Linked DNA regions of Callithrix jacchus. The protein of the gene in region 1 interacts with the protein of each later gene in a pairwise test. Links are inferred from orthologs where the notes say so. Each region holds a gene or a part of one and is shown in the gene's direction. Other genes may lie near its edges.

The links.
Region 2: the proteins of PIAS1 (region 1) and ATXN1 interact in binary tests that used the Homo sapiens proteins (3 or more experiments, as listed by UniProt). The link is inferred for Callithrix jacchus from reciprocal best matches to the Homo sapiens genes PIAS1 and ATXN1.
Region 3: the proteins of PIAS1 (region 1) and MX1 interact in a two-hybrid assay, tested with the Homo sapiens proteins (2 studies listed by BioGRID). The link is inferred for Callithrix jacchus from reciprocal best matches to the Homo sapiens genes PIAS1 and MX1.
Region 4: the proteins of PIAS1 (region 1) and SMAD4 interact in a two-hybrid assay, tested with the Homo sapiens proteins (2 studies listed by BioGRID and IntAct). The link is inferred for Callithrix jacchus from reciprocal best matches to the Homo sapiens genes PIAS1 and SMAD4.

The regions. Positions count from the first base shown.
Region 1 is NC_133509.1:15,291,657-15,297,269, forward strand, and holds part of PIAS1 (E3 SUMO-protein ligase PIAS1), read left to right. Parts: intron 1-1,621; coding exon 1,622-1,782; intron 1,783-3,836; coding exon 3,837-3,967; intron 3,968-4,635; coding exon 4,636-4,816; intron 4,817-5,613. UniProt on the Homo sapiens protein: Functions as an E3-type small ubiquitin-like modifier (SUMO) ligase, stabilizing the interaction between UBE2I and the substrate, and as a SUMO-tethering factor. Catalyzes sumoylation of various proteins, such as CEBPB, MRE11, MTA1, PTK2 and PML.
Region 2 is NC_133505.1:13,912,534-13,918,937, forward strand, and holds the start of ATXN1 (ataxin-1), read left to right. Parts: upstream 1-2,504; 5' UTR 2,505-2,685; intron 2,686-3,113; coding exon of another isoform or gene 3,114-3,927; intron 3,928-6,404. Other genes in the region: uncharacterized protein LOC128931873, read left to right, coding at 3,114-3,927. UniProt on the Homo sapiens protein: Chromatin-binding factor that repress Notch signaling in the absence of Notch intracellular domain by acting as a CBF1 corepressor. Binds to the HEY promoter and might assist, along with NCOR2, RBPJ-mediated repression. Binds RNA in vitro.
Region 3 is NC_133522.1:47,272,569-47,278,181, forward strand, and holds part of MX1 (interferon-induced GTP-binding protein Mx1), read left to right. Parts: intron 1-150; coding exon 151-305; intron 306-1,591; coding exon 1,592-1,730; intron 1,731-2,523; coding exon 2,524-2,722; intron 2,723-4,903; coding exon 4,904-4,982; intron 4,983-5,613.
Region 4 is NC_133514.1:94,274,626-94,280,238, forward strand, and holds part of SMAD4 (mothers against decapentaplegic homolog 4), read left to right. Parts: intron 1-1,014; 5' UTR 1,015-1,139; coding exon 1,140-1,388; intron 1,389-2,751; coding exon 2,752-2,926; intron 2,927-3,359; coding exon 3,360-3,389; intron 3,390-5,613. UniProt on the Homo sapiens protein: In muscle physiology, plays a central role in the balance between atrophy and hypertrophy. When recruited by MSTN, promotes atrophy response via phosphorylated SMAD2/4.

The DNA.
Region 1 (5,613 bases):
CAGGTATTATGTACTGTACGTAATTTTAAAACGTCCATCTTATATGTGGTTCATTGTTGACCAAAATGTTGTTATGTGGTGCTTGATTGTAGTCATATGCAGGAGTATAGAGTTGGGAGTACAGAAAAGGGAGTTACCAGTTTTTACTCTAGGTCCCTCCTGGTTGTGCTTCTGATACTGTAAACTGGCATTGCTCCATTCTCAATAATTTATAGCATGTTCAGTGTTCTATTTTTATTCATCATGGCTACATCTGGTCGAAATAAGGAGGAAACAGTGTTACTTTAGAAGTAAAAGAGGCCCAGAAAGGTTAAATGCCTTTCTTAGAGACACAGTAAATCATTGGCATCAAAGCAATTATTTTGGGCCCCAACTGACAGATAATTGCCTTGGTAGACTAGGGTATTGCACATTTCTCTGAAATTGATCTAAGCCAAGAATCTTTTCCTCATCTAACTCATATCCTTTTCAAGCCTTTATATTTTTCAAGTTCACAAATCTTTTCCTGGTACTTGACAAATAATGTAGTTATTGAAAGTAGATAAGTTCTCTACTATATGGCCATTGTGGGATCTGGGGACCCTACAGTGGTACAAGCTGGCTTCCAGGGAATTGAGATAGTGATATGATAGCTCCCTGACCAGGTCTCTGGGCAGCTTCTCTGCCTTGGGCCAAAGCTAGCAGCTCAGGGATCAGATGAAGCAGATTTCCTCTTCCTAGGATGGACTCAGCCTGTGTCAGCTGAAGCAATATTTGCAAGGCAAGAAGTGTCCTAACATGCTGGAGATGCTAGAGGTCCAGGACTGTAGGCTGAATTGCTTGTGATGGTTCCCAGTGAGGAAGCAGTGCAGAGTGTGTGCACCACCTGCCTTCCTCCTTGGAGCTACCACTTGGCAGTTACGACAGACATCGTGGGGAGTGATCACTATTGATTCAGTTTTGTCCTGTGAACTACTCTAATTCACAGATAAGGCTGAGAGCAATTATCAGTGCATCTCTGTATCATGCAGTATTTACTAAGACATTATTTTCCCTAATCCCTAGTTACATGGTTCTCAAATTTTTTCTTTTGGGTCAGGGACTGCTTTAAGAATTTGGGAGAAGCTGGGTACAGTGGTATACGTCTGTATTCGCAGCTACTCTGGAAGCTAAGGCAGGAGGATTGCTTGAGCCCAGGAGTTTGAGGCTGTAGTGTGCTATGATTATGCCTGTGAAGAGAGTTGGCACTTCAGCCTGGGCAACATAGCAAGACCCCATCTCTTTTTTTGAAAATTGGTAAAAGCACTCTCTCCAGAAAAATGCACACACAAATTTTGAATATAATTCAAGGGGTTTATGACCCTCTCCACCAAAAGCTGATCTGTGAGCTGTGGATTTTAGCAAATAACCCTTGTTGTAGATTTTCCATAGTCATTTTGTTTGCTAGCTAAAGAAATACTGTAATTTTTAAATCTATAGATATTTTACAGGTAATATGTTTAATGTTCTTCTTCATTGATTAAAAGTAAATACAGTATGCTTTAAATCAGTATGCATACCTGTTGTGTTTTAGGAAATTTCTATCAAAGCTTAAATTTTGAACAGCAGTTATCTAATATTTACTTTTTCTCCTTTTTTAAAGCTTGGTAAAATGCGGCTGACAATTCCGTGTCGGGCCCTTACATGCTCTCACCTACAATGTTTTGACGCAACTCTTTACATTCAGATGAATGAGAAAAAACCAACCTGGGTTTGTCCTGTCTGTGATAAGAAGGCTCCATATGAACACCTTATTATTGATGGGTATGTCACTTTAAAAGTGTTTTTGGTACCTTGAAATGAACATATGTTATCTGGGTTTGTTACAGATCAGATTTGGAATGAAAATTCTAAGTTATATGTTTGTAGGATTTTTATGAGTCTGCAAACCAATATTTTCAAAGTAATTTATTTCAAATTAGTATTATGAACATTTTCTTTTCAACTTGATGTTCCCTTGTTTTGAAAATGCATACTGGGGCCGGGCGTGGTGGCTCACGCCTGTAATCCCAGCACTTTGGGAGGCCGAGACGTGTGGATCACGAGGTCAAGAGATCGAGACTATCCTGGTCAACAAGGTGAAACCCCATCTCTACTAAAAATACAAAAAATTAGCTGGGCATGGTGGTGCGTGCCTGTAATCCCACCTACTCGGGAGGCTGAGGCAGGAGAATTGCTTGAACCCAGGAGGCAGAGGTTGCAGTGAGCCGAGATCATGCCATTGCACTCCAGCCTGGGTAACAAGCGAAACTCTGTCTCAAAAAAAAAGAAAGAAAGAAAGAAAATGCATACATTACTGTTAGTGCCTCCTGGCATTCATTGTTTAAAGCACCATTGGTTTTAAGCAGGGTATGCTTACACCCTTTCCTTTTCCCATCATTCATTCATCTACCCATCCCTAGATATGTAGACCATATTGGAGAAAGAATGTATGGTAAAATTTGGGTTAACTCAGGCTCATCCAAAATTGGGCTTTTCAATAGCAGTTAGCCTGTTTCTGGAGATCAGATCAAGCTTCAGTCATGGTCTTTTTCTTTTTTGTCTTGTCCACCTACAGCATCACAGTAACTGATGACTGTTTTTAATACTCCTTTTTTTAAATCTATCCTACCAGACATCTTGGAATGCTCCTCCAAATTATCTCCTATTCTGCAGACTCCTTTCCCCCTGCCTTTTGCCACTAAACAAAAACAAATTGTGCAAAGGAGGACATTTACTTAACTTTTTGGGGGCTGGGGGGTAAGGGTAGACACAGAGTCTTGCCATTTTGCCCAGGCTGATCTCGAATTCCTGGGCTCAAGTGATTCTCCTGCCTTGGCCTTTCAGAGTGCTGAGATTACAGGTGTGAGCCACTGCACCCAGCCTCTACTTAATATTTCCTGTACTTTCTAGCAAAAACACTTAAGGCAACTTACCTACAGTGTTTAAGAAAACGCTGGAGTCTGAAGGTGGTACTATCAGAAACTGAATATATTTAGCAATACAAGTATAACCTAGAACTTGAAAGATGTCAGACCAGTCATGGGAAAAAAAATAAACATGTAACTTAAATGTTTTATGTTTAACTTTTCAGAAATGACAGTGATCACTTACTGGTAAATCAGAATTAAATAGTAATATTTTACCAACTGTATATGTTACATAGCTTAGGTTCTCCCATTTCTTGTTATAAAAGCCATATAACACACATACTCTTTTAAAGAAAAATTTGAAAACACAGGAAAGTAAAAAGCTGTTTTTGGTGTATAATTTTCTGATTTTTGTCTTGACATAATTGTGATTGTACACTGTTAATAATTTTTATCCTTTGGTTTCATTTAACATTATAACCTAGGAATTTGGCCATAATTATGCATTCTTCGTACATGTTTTTAAATGTCACAATATTTTATCAAAGAGATTTAACCTTTGATAACATATTCGTACGTGTATTGCTTCAGTTTCTCAAGTAAGACATGCTTATTGTAGGCAATTTAGAATATGCAAAAAAAATCTAAAGAAGAAAAATAAATACCCATGAAGGTACCACCCAGAGATAACTACTGACTATGGACCACTCACACAGAATTTTAGTTTTGAGATGAAGCTTGCTTTTGTTGGCCTTTTCTAACTTTTTGTGAACATTTTCCCATGTGATTAAAAATCTTTGAAAATGTCATTTTTCATGGTCACATGGTATTTTCTTACACAAATGTGACATAAATTAGCTATATTTCTGTTTACCACTAGATTTTAAGAATAAATATAACAAGTTGTTCAACTTTTAACTTATTTTCATTTAAAATATGATATTCTAAGGATGAATTGTTTTCTTACAGCTTGTTTATGGAAATCCTAAAGTACTGCACAGATTGTGATGAAATACAATTTAAGGAGGATGGCTCTTGGGCACCAATGAGATCGAAAAAGGAAGTACAGGAAGTTTCTGCCTCATACAATGGAGTTGATGGTGAGTAGTTCTTCACAAGGAAGGGCCATCTCCCTACTGCCGTTAAGTCTGGTTTTCAATATTAAAATCCAAATTTTTTTTTTAAACACTGAACAGTTTGTGGAGAGCTTAATAATTCCTATTAACTTACTGATTAAATGTTCAGAGGTAATAGAACTCCTTTTAACTTCACTTTTTTGCCAGCTTTAAGGATTTTTCTAAGATTTTAAAGTAATGTAATTTCTCATTTGTAAAGTCACACTTTTGAAAATGTACCCTTTTAACATTTTGAACAGATTGGGTACAGAGTAGTAAACGTCCTTTTTTCATTGTTTTTGCTGGAAAGAGACTATGAGTTTTAAAAAATGCTATCATATTTCTTAAATATGTCAAATATTGTACAGATAATATACAGTCTGTGCTCTCAAATTACTTTTCCTCTAAAGTAGGCATAAGACACAATTTGATTGTTTGCTCTAATTCTGTAGTTTATTATTTTGAAAAATAATTCACCATTATTAAATAATAATAGTTTTAAACTTATTAGAACAGAGCCACTGCTGGTTTTCTGCTCTCTGGTTCCAACAATATTGTGAATCTAAACTGTAATAGATAAACTATAAGGGACGCTGAGGAAAGATAAATGTCATAGCTCTTCCTTGCCTTGTTTTTTAATCATTCCCATACAGGATGCTTGAGCTCCACATTGGAGCATCAGGTAGCTTCTCACCACCAGTCCTCAAATAAAAACAAGAAAGTAGAAGTGATTGACCTAACCATAGACAGTTCATCTGATGAAGAGGAAGAAGAGCCATCTGCCAAGAGGACCTGTCCTTCCCTGTCTCCCACATCACCACTAAATAATAAAGGGTAGGTGCTGACACCTTTAAAAAAAAGTCATAGTGAAAATTGACTTGGCAAATAAGAATTAAAGACTTGCCAAATAAAAGGATTCTTGATTCTAAAACTTAACAATCAAGAATAGTTTGAATTTTTCCCAGGTTTGTAATATTCTGGAGGGATTGGGGTAATGCACTAAAAGGGTACTTGGATATAGTATTCATCGTATCAAAAGACGATTCTGGTACAGTGGTTCTCAAATTGTGGTGTATGTACATCAGAATTACCTGACAGCTTTTTTTTTTTTTTTTTTGAGACAGAGTCTTGCTTTGTTGCCAGACAGTGGCACAGTCTCGGCTCACGGCAACCTCCACCTCCTGGGTTCAAGTGATTCTTCGGCCTCAGCCTCCCAAGTAGCTGGGACTACAGGCGCATGCCAAACGCCCAGCTAATTTTTGTATTTTTAGTAAAGACGGGGATTCACCATGTTGGCCAGGATGGTCTCGATCTCTTCACCTCGTGATCCACCCACCTCGGCCTCCCAAAATGCTGGGATTATAGGCATGAGCCACTGCGCCCAGCCGAAAGCGTATTAGAATGCACACATCTCTCCCCCATGTCTGAGTCAGGAGTAGGGACTAAAAAAAATGTGTATTTCTTGGCCAGGCACAGTGTCTCACACCTGCAATTCTAGGGACTTTGGGAAGCTGAGGCAGGGAGATTGAGCTCAGGAGTTTGAGACCAGCCTGAGCAACATGGTGAAATCTTGTCTCTACTAAAATACAAATATTAGCCGAGTGTAGTGCACCTGTAATCCCAGCTACTCT
Region 2 (6,404 bases), on another chromosome or scaffold:
TTGCATGAGAAAGTCTTGTTTCTAAAGAATCAGTGTCTGTTATTTGTGACTGTACATTTAATATTTTGCCATCTGAAAACAAAATATTTCAGTACTAAAGGTAATGAGACTGTTTCACGAGTATGGTGTTTATGCTGGATCTTGCAGGAAGAAATAGTTACAGCTTTGGTGGCAGTTTATGGCTTTAATCTCAATGGCTAAGAAAGTAAATGACACATTTCTTATTAATTGTTTTTACCATTTGGGTAATATACATATTTAGCTTCCTTGAGAGAACATTTAAATTAATTGGCTAACTCTAATCTGAATTATGTGTTTTAAGGTTGCTAAAATCATGTAAATTAACTGGTTGTGCCAACATAATAATTACAATATTAGCTTTTTTAACGGAAAATTATCTAAATGTAAGATGTCTAAAAATAGAGTGGAGGTGGATTGGACAGTTTGCAGATTATGAGTTGGAATAAAAACATCGCAGTTAAGCCAAAAACATGGCAACCAATATTTTCTGTTATAAAAATATTTGAGATGAGTTTAGTTTTTATGGAAGCTGTCTGAAACTGACATGAAAAGTCCAGTAATAATACCGGCAGCATCTCCTATATACAAAGCCAACAAGCTTCTGCTTCTTTCTGAAGTCGACTTTGTCAAGTAGGGGGTTGGGGGCGGGGGTGAGGATAGGGGTGTGGGATATTTTACCCAGTTATGCTCTGACGCGCTAACCTTCACCTTGACAAAACAAAACCTATCAGAGCCTTTTCAGGAAACTGATGTTAACTGTCCACTAGAGGCTGTAAGGAGACCAACAATGTCACTTTAGACTAACCCGAGGTTTCAAACTGTAACAATCATCGATTTTTAAATGGGGGGGGGAGTTGTAGAAATGAGTAAGAGTGAACAGTAGTAGTTACATTTAAATAGCCACTTACATGTGCACGGCATATCAAAAATGTGAGAAAAAATATTTCCGGGGCTCTGCACTTTCCTCGCTCGTACGTTTATTATTTCAGGAGCACGTAGGCTCTTGCAGGCCAGAGTTGTGTAAAACCTGACACATGTTTTGATCATTCTCTGCCCTGCCTCAGTGGGTGACTAACCGTTAGGTCATAAGTAAACTCAGCCAAAAGGTCTCTCAAATACAGCTTACAGTCAAGAGCGGTGGCTTTCAGAAAGAAACTTACGCGAAGGGGTCATGTTTCCAGACACCTAGTTCTAAGCACCTGAAGGAGGTCAAATGTTGCCCGACACCTACTGGCCTTCCAGAATCATCTGCAGCAAAAACGCCACGCTGAGCGCCCGTAGTCTGGAGGCACCTCCCAGTCCTCCAGGTGCCACACCTGTTGGCAATGTTAGCCCAGCCGACGAAGATTCCTTCGCGTGGAGGTCACACCTGGCGGCGGGACAGGCGGAGGGGCGGGCGGGGTGGTGGGAGTCGCGGACCGCACTAAAACACAGAGTCCAGACTCAAGTTCTTCATCGATTCCCGAGAGCTGCCATTTGATGCTCCGGTGGCTTTCTCTGTCTCTTACACTGGTTACCTCATTTCCGATTAAATTAATGATCCCAAATTAGCTGCGAGAGGAGTGCGCGGGTCTCCTTTCCAGGCTAGAGCGGAGTAAGTAGCTCCAGATCGAAGCCGATTTCCGGACCTGCGGAGAGAGCGAGGGCACGGCCGGGCGTTCTCAGGCAGCGAAGGTGAGGGCGCCTGTGCAGTCGGGGGGCCCGGGAAACTTTGCGGAGTTGCACGCAGAGGCAATCCCCGAGGCCCCCGGGCCTGGGTTCCCGAACGCCGCAGCGACGCCGGTTTGCGGGTTAAATAACGTGCAGCTGATGATCGGAGGGAGCCCTTTTAGACGCGGCTCGGGGCGCCGGGGACCCAGGGCACGTTGGGATTAGAACCCGCCGACCTCCCCTCCCCCCTGGGGTGTTTCATTGGCTGCCAGCTGAAGCCTGACACCCCTTGGGGGAGTCCCCCAGGTTGCCTGAGCAGCGCCCCGCGGTCGCTCGGTCCCCTCCAACTAGGTGCAGGGACCCAGGGAGGCGCTCGAGGACCGACCGGTCACCGCTCCAATTACCTCATCGCGCAGCTCCCCGCCCCCTTCCCAAACCTGGAAGGAACCTTGCCCTCCACCCCGCTCCTCCCCTCCCCCGCGGCCCGTCCCGAGCCACTCTTGGGGAAAGGTGCCCGCCTCCCCGGGCCGCGCGCCGCGAAGGGTTAAGGGCGCGGGCCAGCCGCCGCGCGGTGCGCTCAGGGCTCGGTGCTGCTCGCCGGGCCGCCCGCCAGAGGGTGCCCCCCACCCCCATGAAGTCGGATCCTTGAGCTGCGGCGGCGGCAGCCAACTGCTCCATATTTGGCTTCTATTACACATTTACATACTGGAGCGAGCGAGCGAGCGAGCGAGCGCGAGAGAGCGCGAGGGAGGGAGGGCGGAGGGAGGAGGGAGGGGAGGGAAGCGGGAGGAGGGGGAGGAGGAGGAGGAGGAGGAGGAGGAGGAGGAGAGAGCAGAGTATACCGCAGACATCATTTCTACTACAGTGGCGGAGCCGTACAGGACCTGTTTCACTGCAGGGGGATCCAAAACAAGCCCCGGGGAGCAGCAGCCAGAGCAAGAGCAGCCGCCAGACATTGTTTCTCTCCCTCTGCCCCCCTTCCCCACGCAACCCCAGATCCATTTACACTTTACAGTAAGTGGCTATTTTTTTTCCTCCTCTGATTCTTTTCCCCCCTCCCCCATCCCCTTCTCCCCTTATTTAGATTAAAATCCCTCCTCTCCCTATCTCCCGAGAGGGGCAAAAGCAACAACCAGCAAACAAACCCTAAAACCCCAATCGGCTGCACGGAAAACAGCTGGAAGAGGAGCGAAGGGAATCGACGCGTCGTGTTGTGTGTGTGTGTGCGTGCGTGTGTGTGTACATACAACCGTCCCCGGTTCCAGGCTCCCAGGCCGACACCCCCACTCTGGGCGCAGGGGCGGCCGTTCGGGGGGGCTGTCAGGGGCCGGGTGGGCGCCCGCCGGGCTAGGGGGCGCGCCCGGGCGGGGGGCGCGGGCAGGGAGAGCGGCGGCGGCGCCCCGCTCTGGAGACTGCTGGTCCGGTCGCGAGTGCCGAGAGCCATGTCCTCCTCCCTCCGGGTGGCGCAGGGGGAGGCGGCGGCGGCCGGGGTGGGGGGCTGGTCCCTTTCCCGGCCGCCCTCTTCCCATTCCTCCTCTCCGGAGAGGGCGGTGAGAGAGGGGGGGTCTCGGGGAGGGCTGCACTTCCCCGCGGGTGGACGCCCGGCCTCGGCGCCCCTGGGCGAGGGTCTTCCCTCCGTGGCCGGCCTCGCCGGCTGTACGGCTGTGGGCTGGGAAGGGACTGCTCCAGCCAAGGGGCCGGGACTTTGCGCTCGGCCGGGTGCCAGGCGGGGGGCGCGGAGGGGTGGCCTCGGGGACCCCGCGGGGGTAGCGGGTGTGCGGGTGCCTGGAGCGCGGCTGGAGTGGCGGTGGCGGCCCTGGCTGCCGCCGCCACCGCCGCCCTGTTGGTGCGGCCGCTTCCTGATCCTGTGCAGCGGCCGCCGCCGCCCGGAGCCGCGAGCCCGCGAGCGCCCCAGTCCGGGCCGGCGCCCCTGCCAGCGCCCGCGGCAGGAACCGAGGAGCCGCGGCAGGCGCTGCCCGGAGCCGGGAGTGAACGGCTGCGCGGCTGCTGGGAGGGTGAATGAAGCCAGGAGGAGGGGAAGGAGGAGGAGGCGGCGGCGGAGGAGGAGGAGGAGGCGCTGCGGGGATTGGGATGCGCCCTGGAGCCCCGCTGCTCGTTCACTCTGGGCCGGGCCGAAGACTCTGCCACTCCCGGGGCCGGGGCCGCCGCCGCCGCCGCCTCCTACGTGGTTCCAGCGCTGCGCTCAGGCCGGTCCCGCAGGGGGCAGGGAAGGGGGCCGGACGGGCGGAGCGAGAGGTGAGGCGGTGTCGGAGCGCGGCGTGTGAGTGAGTGTGTGAGTGAGTGTGAATGTGTATATGTGTGTGTGCGTGCGCGCCGGGCGGGGGGCGAGGGCTGTCGTGATGCGGAGGGGGCCCCTCCTCGGCCACTTGGCTGACTCTGCATCGCCCGACCCCTTCTCAGCCCCCCGCCTTCAGGCTGCCTTCTTGAACTCCGAGGCTGTGCTTTCATTTTATTTCAAACCACGTAGGGGGCTGACTGGAAGCGGTGAAACAATTCAGGTTTTCTAGGGAGATTGAGCAAGAACCTTAGCGGGGGGTGGAAGTAGGGTGGTGATCCAGACTCTGCCAGAAAACAAAACAAAACAAAAAGATCAGTTTCTAAGGACGGCAGGGGTTCGGTTCGAGCCGGTGGCTGGTCTGTTTTGTTTTGCTTTCTTGGTATTATCCTACAGATAAAAAGGTAATGTAAATACTTGAGAAGATTGGGAAATTGCTGAAGAGTAGTAAGGGCAAAAAAAAAAAAAAAAAAAAAAAAAAAAAAAAGCCAGTCGGAAGAAGCTGGTTATATAATGCGCGATGTGGCTAACAAGAAAGGCAAGCTATTTTTATTTTGTTTACCGTATGCTGTGCAGTAGGGACTCCTCCAAACTGGTTCTGTCCCCGAAGAGATTCTGAGCTTCCCTGTGAGATCCACAGGATACAATTAGCAAAATTAGAAGACCCTATTACACCCACAGAATAAAAACTGGTGCCTTACAGTGGCTTTCTGCCTGCACATTCGTGCATGCACAGGAATGTGTGTATGCAAATAAGTTCTCCTTTGGCAATCTAGTAGTGCACATCTCAATGACATTTGCGTTTTATAATGCAGGCTGTTTTTAATATTTAAACATTGTCGTTATATATTGCACACAGCAGTGGGTAGTTACTTGGTGGTTATTTTTAGGCATAGCTACTTTTTCAACAGTGTTAGCTAAGACATTTCCGTTTGGGTTTTTTAGGAGGCTGCAGTTCCTAGAAGCCCCCGTTAAGCCCACCCTTCGGTTTATTTGGTGGGTAAAGGTAGTTTGATACTTAGGCTTTTTTTTTTTTTTTGGAATGAAGCTTATGCCTGAGGAAACCACCAGAGAGAAGAGAAAATCCTGCACAGGAACTCTTGGAAAGGGATTGCACCATAACGGCTAATGCTGTGGCACTTAATCTCCTCTGATTGCCCTCTCGCTGTGCATGCATCAGTCAATATTTTAGCAGCTCTGCAAATAAATGGACTTGAATGCCATCTTCTACATAAAGCAGAGGTTGAAGGGCTCCCTTGAACCTCCTGGCTGGCTGTCAGTGGTGTAGGTTTTCAGTGCACTTACTCCAGCCCTGATCACTCATGTAATTAGATCAGGCTGCCATGGCAACAGACAGTGTTCCTCGTCCATTCAGGTGGGTTTGTCTTGTGCCTGAACTACTCCAAATGTTTTATGCACAGCATTTATGCTGCCCAAGCTAGACGAAAGACTCCACTATTTCAATTGCATCTTCTTTCAGTCATTTGGATGGGAGACACTGAAGGAGGCTTCTAGCTACTCAACTTTTATAAAGGAGACCAACAAGCTGTTCTTCCTAGGTGCAGTATGTAAATGCGTCTCCCCATACAGTGAAAGGAGCCTGACAATCCTGCTGGTGTTTATTGTGAGCAGATCAACAAGTATTTGGTACTTGTTAGAAACCTTTCAGAGCTTACTAAAGCAACATTTCTTTTGCAGTCTGGTGCCTTTGGCCATGCAGGCACTTAACCCTTTCAAGTGTGAAGAGCGTTCATCCTTTGGAACCTATATTGCCCATAGCAATGGCTGGATTTCTAAAGGATTTACTCAGAGGAATAACTTATTCGGAAAATATATTCTCATTGTCACATTTTTAAACTTGACAGCCATCATAACAAAAACTGGTACTGACAGTAGGCAGACATTCTGAATGTATTCATTCTTAATTTGGATCTATTGGGTGTGATTTGAATGATCTTTGATAGTAAGTTAAAAGGATTTTTTTTTTCTTAGCTAAGCCAGAAATGATAGAGGCCTATAGCTAGAGGACAGATAATGCATGGTGCTTTTGCACAATAAGCATGTACTTTATTTTAGGATGTAATTTAGAGAACAGTTAGAAAGCAGTATTCTAGTCTGCATAAGGGCACCACTGCATGAAGGCTGCTAAGCAAAGAGAAATCACACTATGGCAAAAAGGGAAAAGGAAAAGTTTCTTTAGTTGCTGAAGCTCTGTGCTGCTCAGGTAATCCAAGTAGGCAGGCGGGAGGAGAGGGGGAGAGAGGAGCATTTTAATAACCTGGCATTTGAAAGGAAAGATAATTGAGAATATGTCTTGATTTAGTTGTGACTGCCAGTCAGTTTACAATTTTATGGCCAACCTAGCTAAACTAGTACATTTTTCCCCCCAGGCCTAGGATTGTGAGAGCTACTCAACTCTATTCACAGGGGATTTATG
Region 3 (5,613 bases), on another chromosome or scaffold:
CCCTTTAGTCTCAATCACAGAAAATTGAATCTGCTCCAAATACGCTTTTATCCATGACTCGCAGAGTAGAAGAGGCTTTCAGAGTATTCACTGCCATGAGATCCTTTAATCCTAAGCTCTGTTTGTGCTTGATTCTCCCCCTCTCTCTAGCCCAGAACACCATCGCCGGGGAAGGAATGGGAATCAGTCATGAGCTAATCACCTTGGAGATCAGCTCCCGAGATGTCCCGGACCTGACTCTCATAGACCTTCCTGGAATAACCAGAGTGGCTGTGGGCAATCAGCCTGCTGACATCGGGCGTAAGGTCAGATTTCAGACTCTAATACCCTTACTGTATTAGAGTAGTGGTGAGTCCAGGGCTGAGTTGTGGAGAGTTGATATTTGGAGGTAAGAGTGAGGAATTCAGAGAGCCCATTGGTCACAGTCTTTTCTGACGAGTTGGATGGAAGCTTCCTTGGAGACGGTGAAGTGAACAGGCACAGCTGGAAACAAGTTCTATGTATTTGTTTTGTGTTTCACGCAGTGACTCATTTTTGGTTAGAGTTACATTCTGCAGCGGATCTAAAATGCGGTGTATTAGGAAGGAGTTTTATGTGGGAAAAGAGAACATTAAAAATAAGTATAGCCAGGCACAGTGGCTCACGCCTGTAATCCCAGCACTTTGGGAGGCCAAGGCAGGTAGATCACAAGGTCAAGAGATCAAGCCCATCTTGGCCAACATGGGGAAACCCCATCTCTACTAAATATTTTAAAACTTAGCCAGGCGTGGGTGCGTGCCTGTGGTCCCACCTACTCGGGAGGCTGAGGCAGGACAATTGCTTGAAACCAGAAAACAGAAGTTGCAGTGAGCCGGGATCACACCACTGCACTCCAGCCTGGCAATAGAGCGAGACTCAGTCTCAAAAAGTAAAAAAAAAAATTTTTTAAATAAGTATAATGGGCCACACACAGTGGCTCATTCCTATAATCCCAGCACTTTGGGAGGCTAAGGCAGGAGGATTGCTTGAGCCCAAGAGTTTGACACAAGCCGGAGCAACATAGTGAGAACCCCTTCTCTATAAAAGAAAGGTTAAAAAAATTAGCCCTGTATGGTGGTGTGCACCTGCAGTCTCAGCTACTGGGAGGATTGCTTGAGCCAGAGAGGCTGTGATGAGCCATGATTGTGCCACTGCACTCCAGCCTGGACAGCAGAGGAAGAACCTGAAAAAAAGAAAAGAAAGAAAGAGGACTGATATTTGAGTAGCAGTGATCTCACTTTACAGATTAACGATCTAGGGTCAGGCAGGTTTTGTTGGCCATTGTTTTTCATTGTGACCATCAGACCTGAGGTCTTAGCGGGTAATTAACTGAAACCTCATAGTTTTCCCTGAGCCTAGAGCTCCGTTTCTGCTGCAGATACTTATTTTCTCATAATTCCAGCTTGGGAGGTACCTCCAAGGTAGGGTTTATTGGTTCACTTCTCCAAAGTTACTTCTTTTGGGGGAAATACCCCTGGGCCTCTTAGGGCCTAAAGCAAGCACAAGGTCAGAACCTGTCTCACCTGTCACTTGCTTTTGCCGTTTTCACAAGTCACCTTCCATTTCCTTACAGATCAAGGCACTCATCAGGAAGTACATCCAGAGACAGGAGACGATCAGCCTGGTGGTGGTGCCCAGTAACGTGGACATCGCCACCACAGAGGCGCTGAGCATGGCCCAGGAGGTGGACCCCGAGGGGGACAGGACCATCGGTGAGAATGTGGGAGCCTACATGTGGTGGGCGGTCTGCCAGTGGGGAAGTGTCTCTCAAGTCTCCGTGGGCATTGCTGCATTGCTTGGTGGGGACCTGCTTCCACTAAGACCTGCTAAGGGGCAGGTTTGGTGCCCACCGAGGCCAAGTGAAATGAACTACTTTTGACTCTCGTTGACTTGGTTGCCTTGTAACCCTTATCTATGTGCTCAGAAAGGCACAGCAGGCTCAGAAGCAGGGCAAACTAAGGAAGCAAATGGTATTCATAAAGAATGCATTTGAAGTAGGAGCAGCACAAATGTCCATGACTAAAAGGACAAACAAAATGTGGTGAAGGAGGTGGGAAGGGAAGGAAAGAAGGAAAGGGAAGGAAAGAGGGGAAGGAAAGAAAGAAGGGAAGGAAGGAAAGAAGGGAAGGAACGAAAGAATGGAAGGAAGGAAAGAAGGGAAGAAAGGAAAGAAGGGAAGGAAGGAAAGGGAGGAAGGAAGATATTTGAGTATCAGTGAATCTGACTTTACAGATTCAAGATTTAGGGATCAAGTGTGTTTTCACAGGGCAGAGGAGCCTGGGGAGAGCCACATGCTGTTCTGAGGGGCACCCCTGCCTCCTTGCAGCTTGCCCTGGAGTTCTTTCTTGGAGTGGGACTCCACTGGCCCCATGGATCTGCGGAGGCCATGGGCTACCCTCTAGCAAAGGGGGAGGAAACACTGGGAGGCTGGGGCATAAACAGTTGTTCATTCACCGCTGCCTTGTGACTGGGCACGTTCTCTCACCAAAAACATCTGGCTTGCAGGAATCTTGACGAAGCCTGATCTGGTGGACAAAGGAACTGAAGACAAGGTTGTGGACGTGGTGCGGAACCTGGTGTTCCACCTGAAGAAGGGCTACATGATCGTCAAGTGCCGGGGCCAGCAGGAGATCCAGGACCAGCTGAGCCTGTCCGAAGCCCTGGAGAGAGAGAAGCTCTTCTTTGAGGACCACCCATATTTCAGGTGCACTCACCTGGGTTTCATCACGGATCAGTGCAAGCCCTGGAAGTCAGTTCTTCCTGGGGAAAGTGGCGGCCACCCCACAGATGCACGGAGTGTGTGTGTGACTATGCTTGTTCCCCAGCAAGGACTCTGGAAGAATAGAAAGGGGATTACAAAATATTGGGGGAAAAAAAACCTAAAAACCAATCAAAACAGGGAGAGAACAATGTACAATAATTTAAATAGCATGGTGTTGGAACCATATTTTATAAAAACGTAAATAGAAGAGAACAGAAAAAAAGTAGAATGCCCAGAAATAGATTCCGATATGTATGTTTGACACATGATGAACACGGCATTTCAAACAAAATGATGAGCTGTATCAGCTTGATTATCAATTAATAGCATTGGGATAATTATGATTATTTTATTATTTTTGAGATACAGTTTTGCTCGTTGCCCAGGCTGGAGTGCAATGACATGATCTTGGCTCACCGCAACCTCCACCTCCTGGGGTTTAACTGATTCTCCTGCCTCAGCCTCCCAAGTAGCTGGGATTACAGGCATGCAGCACCATGCCTAGCTAATTTTGTATTTTTAGTAGAGATGGGGGTTTCTCCATGTTGGTCAGACTGGTCTCCAACTCCCAACCTCAGGTGATCCACCCACCTCAGCCTCACAAAGTGCTGGGATTACAGTCGTCAGCCACCACCCCTGGCAGGATAATTATTTAATATTTGGGGAAAAGTTCAAATACTGTTCTAACTTACCTCATTATACCACAATAGTTGAAGTTTAAAGTTAAATCTTACCCCATTATGCCAAAGTAGTTGAAATTTAAAGTTAAATGTTAAAAAACAAAGCAATAAGCATCTCAGAAGAAAATGTTGGTGAATAGTTTATAAGACCTTTCTATCCCTCCTGCCCAAAGTGAATTTTTTTAAACGAAAATATTGATAAATTGGTAAGATTTAAAATAATGAGACTATGTAGAATTGTAAACATTCTTGCACTCAATTCTCCCAGAAGCCTACAGAAGGGCATTGCTCAGAGTTCTATGAATATCAAACAGAAATTTCCATGCCCCTCTGCACATTCACAATAGCCAGAAGAGAAGGTGACTCGGTGTCCATGGACAGATGGGTGCAGAAAGCAATGCACCATAAGATGGAATACCATTCAGCCTCAGAGAGGAGGGACATCACAGCACAGACCACGATGCCGATGTAGCTTGAGAACATCAGACTCGGGGAAAGAGCCCAGTCGTAAGAGGACGGAGACTGTCTGATTCCACTTGTCTGAGGTCCTTGGAGTGGTCAGATTCGTATAGACAGAAAGAATGGTGGGTGCCAGGGCCTGGGGGAGAGAGAATGGGGAGGTAGTGTTTACCGGGCCATTGTTTCAGTTTGGGAATATGAAAAGCTCTGAAGATGGACGGTGGTGATGGTTTCAGAATAGCGTGACTGTAGTTAAGGCCACTGAAGTGTACATTTAAAAATGGCTCAAATGGTCAATTTTATGCTATATGTATTTTACCACACGACTTTTAAAAATGGACATAGAAACTGAAGCTTAGGTATGAGTATACTCTCACAACAAGGCACAGAAACTTATGCTTCTCTGCTGCCCATATCCTAAAATGTCCTGTAAAGCGTGGGCAACCTTGTAATAACTCGCCCTATGAGCACAAATTTGGATCGAGTGACAAGATGTTTGGCTTCCACCCTCCAGGCAGCCCATGGTCTAAGTTCTTATCTCAGGCGAGGTTGCATCTCCTCTGTTCCGTGATCCTCCACCCACGTATGTAAATATGCTTCAGTGTATTCGTATGAAGACCACGCCTGTGTTCATTATGATCACTCACACGTATTACAAATGGAAGGGGGTATGTGTTATGAAAACCTATCTATACATGTCTGTGTATTTCTGTGACGACCAGTTCTGTAGCCAGATATTATGAGACACATTTATTATATCAGCTGGAAGGGCTCATTCCATATCATTGTTGAAATATCCTAGGTTGCTAAAGCTCAGCCACAGTCCTGTTCGGTCCAACTCTGAGTATTTGTTGGGTACCGATCACAAGATATTCCATCCGGTGGTAAGCGACTGAAATTTGCCTGGACTTTCCCCAACAGCAGAAGGCAGACGTGCGTGTTCTGGCTACATCAAGGTGGAAATCGATCTTGTGTTCTCTTCTAGGGATCTGCTGGAGGAAGGAAAGGCCACGGTTCCCTGCCTGGCAGAAAAGCTCACCAGCGAGCTCATCACACACATCTGTGTAAGCACAGACAGAGCTGTGGGTCCTCTAAAAAGAACACTACGAACACGGAGCTGAACCTTGCTGGCTTCTTAAACATGACTACACACAGGCCTTCTGAGGATCTTAAGATGCAGATCAGATTCTGTGGGTCTGGAGTAGGGCCTAAAATTCTGCATTTCCAGCAAGTCCCCAGGTGACACGGATATTGCTTTTCAGGGAACCACAGTCTGGGGGCTGCTGATAGACTATACCTACTGGGCCAAAACAAAAAATTAAAATCTTACGCACATGCTACAACTCTTCCTATCTGGTTGCCAGCCACTGTTGGAGCGTCTTAGTCATTGTAATGGACGTATTTTTCAACTTCTAAAAGATTGTAAAAGCTCTCCGTAGTGGTTCTTTTTAAAATCTGCCTGAATATAGTCTCTTCCTATTTCAATTTTTTTTGAGACAGAGTCTCACTCTGTTGCCCCAGCTGCAGTACAGTGACGTGATGTCAGCTCACTGCAACCTCCACCTCCTGGGTTCAAGCAATTCTCCTACCTTGGCCTCCTGAGTACCTGGGATAAAAGGCACACGCCACCACTCCTGGATAATTTTTGTGTTTTTAGTAGAGACGGGGTTTCGCCATATTGGCTAGGCCGGCCTT
Region 4 (5,613 bases), on another chromosome or scaffold:
TGACTGACTTCTTTCACTTAGCATGTGTTTTTGAGGTTTATCCATGTTGTAACATGTATTAGTACTTTTATTTTTTATGGTTGAATAATATTTCATTGTGTGGAATTTTATTTGTACATTCATCAGTTGATGGACATTTGAGTTGTATCTATTATGAACAGTGTTGCAGTGAACATTCGTGTACAGGTTTGTGTGGACATAGGTTTTCATTTTTCTCAAGTAGAATTGTGAAGAGGGGAATTGCTGGGTCATATCGTAACTGTGTTTAACATTTTGTGTTAATACCAGCCTGTTTTCCAAAGTACCTGTGCCATTTGTAATACCAGCAGCAGTGAATGAGGGTCCAATTTCTCGCTTCTTCAATACTTATTATTGTCTCTTTGATTTACCCATCTCAGTAGGTATGAAGTGGTAGAGCTACTTGTGGTTTTGGTTTTCATTTTTATAATGACTAATGTTGAGCTTTCATGTGCTTATTGGCCATTATCTTTGGAGAAATGTCTTGTAGAATAAAAGAGATCCTTTTTTTATTGGTCTCTTTTAACAAAGGTCAGTGTTAACTGCTAGGTAGCATTTCATACCAGGCGATGGTAATTTTTCATAAATATTAGTAATAGACTTTTAGGTTTAGCTGATTGTTAATCAAGACTATTTTAAAGTGCTAATCCTCATAAGTAATCCTTTAAAAAAAGTCCTGGTAAGATTTCCCTTTAGGGTGACCAGTACAGTCAGCAAGACTCAATTGAGCGTCTCACTATTATAATGAGGAGACCTAATTTTAATATTTTTGGAATGTCAAAAACAGTGACATTTTGATTAATTTTATTTTTAAAAATTATTTTTGATGGTTAACATTTTATAAGAATTTTAAGTAATGTTCAACTCTGAGCATCAAATTTTAATTATGTGCGTTGAATCTCTGACTTAACCAGAACAATTTCATCTTTTTCCAAGTATATCTAAATCTACTTTGTGAAATATGTTCTGATGTGTGTCTTTTTTTTTCTTTTTTAGGTTATCTTGAATACATGTGCAACAGTTTTACTTGCAACGTTACCTGTTGTTTTATACTGCTTCCAAAAGATCAAAATTGTTCTGGAAATTGGAGACATTTGATTTAAAAGGAAAAACTTGAACAAATGGACAATATGTCTATTACGAATACACCAACTAGTAATGATGCCTGTCTGAGCATTGTGCATAGTTTGATGTGCCATAGACAAGGTGGAGAGAGTGAAACATTTGCAAAAAGAGCAATTGAAAGTTTGGTAAAGAAGCTGAAGGAAAAAAAAGATGAATTGGATTCTTTAATAACAGCCATAACTACAAATGGAGCTCATCCTAGTAAATGTGTTACCATACAGAGAACATTGGATGGGAGACTTCAGGTTAGTCTTATAAGAATTTTTCTATACCCTCTATGGTGGCAGGTTAAAAAACTTGCTAAATTTCCTTTCAAGCTTCTATAGGGTAATTTAATGCATGCTTCATCTCTTCAGATACTGTCATCCAGTACAAATATGCATTATGGGAATATGTGGAAGAATATGCAAAAGATAAAATTTTAAAGTTTTTTATGTTCTGACTCAGAAAAATGTTCAGTGGAGAAAATTTGGAAAATAAAAAGAAGAAAACCCACATTTTGCAGGAACTTCCGTTAGCCCTTTGGTATTCATTTTTGTAGTCTGTTGTTTTCTTTTTCTTTCTTTTTCCGAGGCAGAGTCTTACTCTGTCACCCAGGCTGGGATGCAGTGGTGCAGTCTTGGCTCACTGCAGCCTCCGCCTCCCAGGTTCAAGCAGTCCTTCTGCCTCAGCCTCCTAACTAGCTGGAACTACAGGTGAGTGCCACCATGCCCAGCTAATTTTTGTATTTTTAGTAGAGATGGGATTTCACTATGTTGGTCAGGCTGGTCTCAAACTCCTAACCTCAGGTGTTCCACCCACCTTGGCCTCCCAAAGTGCTGGGATTACAGGTGCAAGCCACTGTGCCCGGCCATGTTTTCTTTTTTGATATTGTATGTACATTTAAACAACTGGTGGATTATACTTAGTCCTTTTATAATTTAGAAATCTGGTATGTTTCACTGATATCAAATGTTTCATTGGTCACGTTTTTCATGTAGAACTTTGTAATACGTCTCCCTTGCTCAAGTAAATCTCATAGAAATTTTATGTCTTAGATTTTAAAGTTTTATTTCTAGACTTTAGTTTCTACAACACAGTCTTTTTGCATATTTATTTGTTTATTTTATTTTCTTTCTTTGAGACATGGTCTCAGTCTTGCCCATGCAGTGGTGCGAACATGGCTCACTACAGCCTTGACCTACTGGGCTTATTCAGTTCTCCTGCTTTAGCCTCCTGAGTAGCTACGACTACAGGCACACACCACCATGTCTGGTTGATTTTTTATTTTTTGTGGAAACAAGGTCTTGCCATGTTGTCCAGGTTGGTCTTGAATTCCTAGGTTCAAGAGATCCTCCCTTGGCCTCCCAAAGTACAGGTGTGAGCGACCAGGCCCACCCACTTTTTGCATTTTTAAAACCTGAGCACAGGCCTTGAAATTATACCAGCGTTTAAATTCTAGGTCTGAAGTATGACATGGCCAAGTTAGTTATTTTGAATTTTAGTGTTCTCGTTTATGAAATGGGGATTGTAATACTGACTTGGTAGGATTGTGAGGTTTAAATCAGAATATATGTAAAGTGTCTTGCATAATGTGACACACGAATAAATGGTTGTTTATTTTTCTAGGTGGCTGGCCGGAAAGGATTTCCTCATGTGATCTATGCCCGTCTCTGGAGGTGGCCTGATCTTCACAAAAATGAACTAAAACATGTTAAATATTGTCAGTATGCGTTTGACTTAAAATGTGATAGTGTCTGTGTGAATCCATATCACTATGAACGAGTTGTATCACCTGGAATTGGTAAGTAGACTTTTGCTTTTATCCTTAGAAACATAAAGGAAAAATGATGTCAGTAATGCTTTAATTTTTGTGAGTTAAATTATAAATTTCGAAGATAGCCCAGGATTTTAAATAAGGTTAAAGAATGAGATATTTTTAATATAAATATTTAAATTTGAACTCAGGAACAAACATTTTGACTACTAAAACCAAGTATTATCGTTGACATTTTGCCCATGTAAAACATTGTTTTTGAGAAATAAGATGGAAAGCATTATAAGTTTGAATACTTAGTGTATGTATTGTTAGTTAGCGTTTATGCTACTTCTGAATTGAAATGGTTCATGAACTTTTGTAATCTCTGGCTTAAATTTACATTCTCTGTTTTTAAATGGAAAATATTTTCATTGTAATGATTAATGTTTTATTTTTTTCCCCTCTTTAAACAATTAAGATCTCTCAGGATTAACACTGCAGAGTAATGGTAGGTAATCTGTTTCTTATCACATTCTCTTTCCTGTGTTTTATCCTCTCTGTTTTTTTGTTGACCTAGAATTAATTAGTTTGTGTGGGCGGCAGTAACCTTAACAAGAAAATAACTTACTGCTTTGGAAATTTAGATTGAGGGGGCGTGTCGGTGTTTAAAACTGGATTTAAATTGGCTATTTGCTCTTTGTATTTGAACTGCAATTTATGAGTTAAAGTACTGTAAAAAATATGATAAGGGAATGAACCAAAAACAAATACAAAGGCTGCTTTTCAAGTTAAGCACTGTTTTTGAAGAAAATCTCACAGAGTCAGTTTAAATGGATGTTAAGTTCCCAGAATGTTTGGTAATTTGGAATCACATATAACATATCCAGTAAAAATACCAGTATTCTAATGTTTCTTCATTTCAGTCTAATTTATTTTTATATAATGTTGAGAATGGTTTAAAATTGCACTCGTTTGTGTTTTTTCAGTCTTGTTACATTTTGAGTAAATAAATCAAGGCTACTTTAAAGCATATGCCCATCACAGCTTACCTTACTGAAAAAGTGTTTTAAGGTGAGAAAATGAAACACCAGTGGGGGTGTAGGTGTTTTTTAGTGTAATATTTGAGAATGGAGTTTTATTAAATCTTTAGGTCTGTTACTTAGAACTTACTAAAATTTCTGTCAGAACTAATTAATTTGCAGAGAAACTCTTATAAAGAACCACTGTGAGCCAGGTGCAGTGGTTCATGTCTGTAATCCCAGAACTTTGGGAGGCTGAGGCTGGTGGATCATGTGAGGTCAGGAGTTCAAAACCAGCGTGGCCAACATGGTGAAACGCTGTCTCTACTAAAAATATAAAAAATTAGTCAGGTGGGTGCCTGTAATCCCACCTACTCAGGAGACTGAGGCAAGTGAATCACTTGAACCCGGGAGTTGGAGGTTGCAGTGAGCTGAGATCATGCCATTGCCTGGGCAACAATAGCACAACTCCATCTCAAAAAAAAGGACCCAATGTCATATTAGAAAGGTGTGCTATTGTTCTGGAGGGAAATGAGTAGTAACTTGGGACCTTTTTTGTTTGCAGAATTTTAGAGATGGGTCAGAAATACTAGGTGACGTTAACCAAAATTTAGGAAGAGTTTGCAAGTCTTCTTGTTTTTATTTTCCATCTTTCTCCCATATCACTAATGGAGGAAGGAAGACTTAGTGCCTTGTGGTGCTTGTTAGTGATTAGTAGGTTTCTGAGAAGTGTGCATTTATTATTAGGAGCTGTTGTGGTGGTCTGGGAAGGGTTGCTTTAAGATTGGTTAAAGCTCTGCCTCTTTGCCATGCAGACATTGAAAATCATATAACTTCTTCTTCTTTTTTTTTTTTTTTTAAGTAAATACCCTTCATATCTTTTAAAGTGTTTTTTAAAGTAAACACACTTCATATCTTCATTTTCCATCCATGGTTTTGGAGAATTAAAACATTTGGCTCAGTAGGTATTAAAGATTGGGAGACTGCAATGATATGTCTATCTGAATCTCTCTATGGGGCTGTTTGTGAGGGGGTTCAAATTCTGAATGCTTATCACACACCTCCCCTATCCTGAAATTATTGATGCATTGTTATCAATGGGATTGCATGGGTCGATAGCCTTTCTTTAATGACTATAGAACTGTATTCAGCCTTGTAGAGCCCCCTAGTGGTGGTTTTGTAAAGGGTGTCTTCAGTGCCTTATTTCCTCAGAAAACAAGGGGTATTTCTCACAGCTCCTTCTAGATTTTAACAAAGGAATAATACAAGACCAGTTAACTAAAAAGTTAAGAAAATGGGACATTTCCTTCATTTTTGAGTTAAAGTCTTGTGGTAATCATTTACAGCCTGCCTTTTATCTTTCATGAAACTTTCTATGACCAAGTTGACCTGTGTATTCATTTTAACAAATATTTAATGAGCATGTATTGCTTGGTACTAGGTTCCAGGGATGCTAAGATAATAAGGTATGTCTTGTCTACTTAAGTGAGCTTATAGTCTAGTGGAGGAGAAAAAAAGTAAGTAAGAGGGTGATAATACCATCAGACAGGTGCTATATCCTGCCTGCTGGTGATGATAAAGAATACAGATGTAGAGTGGGCCCAGTGGTTTCAGCTTCTTTGTCACCTATAGAGAGTATATTATTTGACCTTCTTAGAACTTTTTTTTTTTTGAGACAGAGTTTCGCTCTTGTTGCCCAGGTTGGAATGCAGT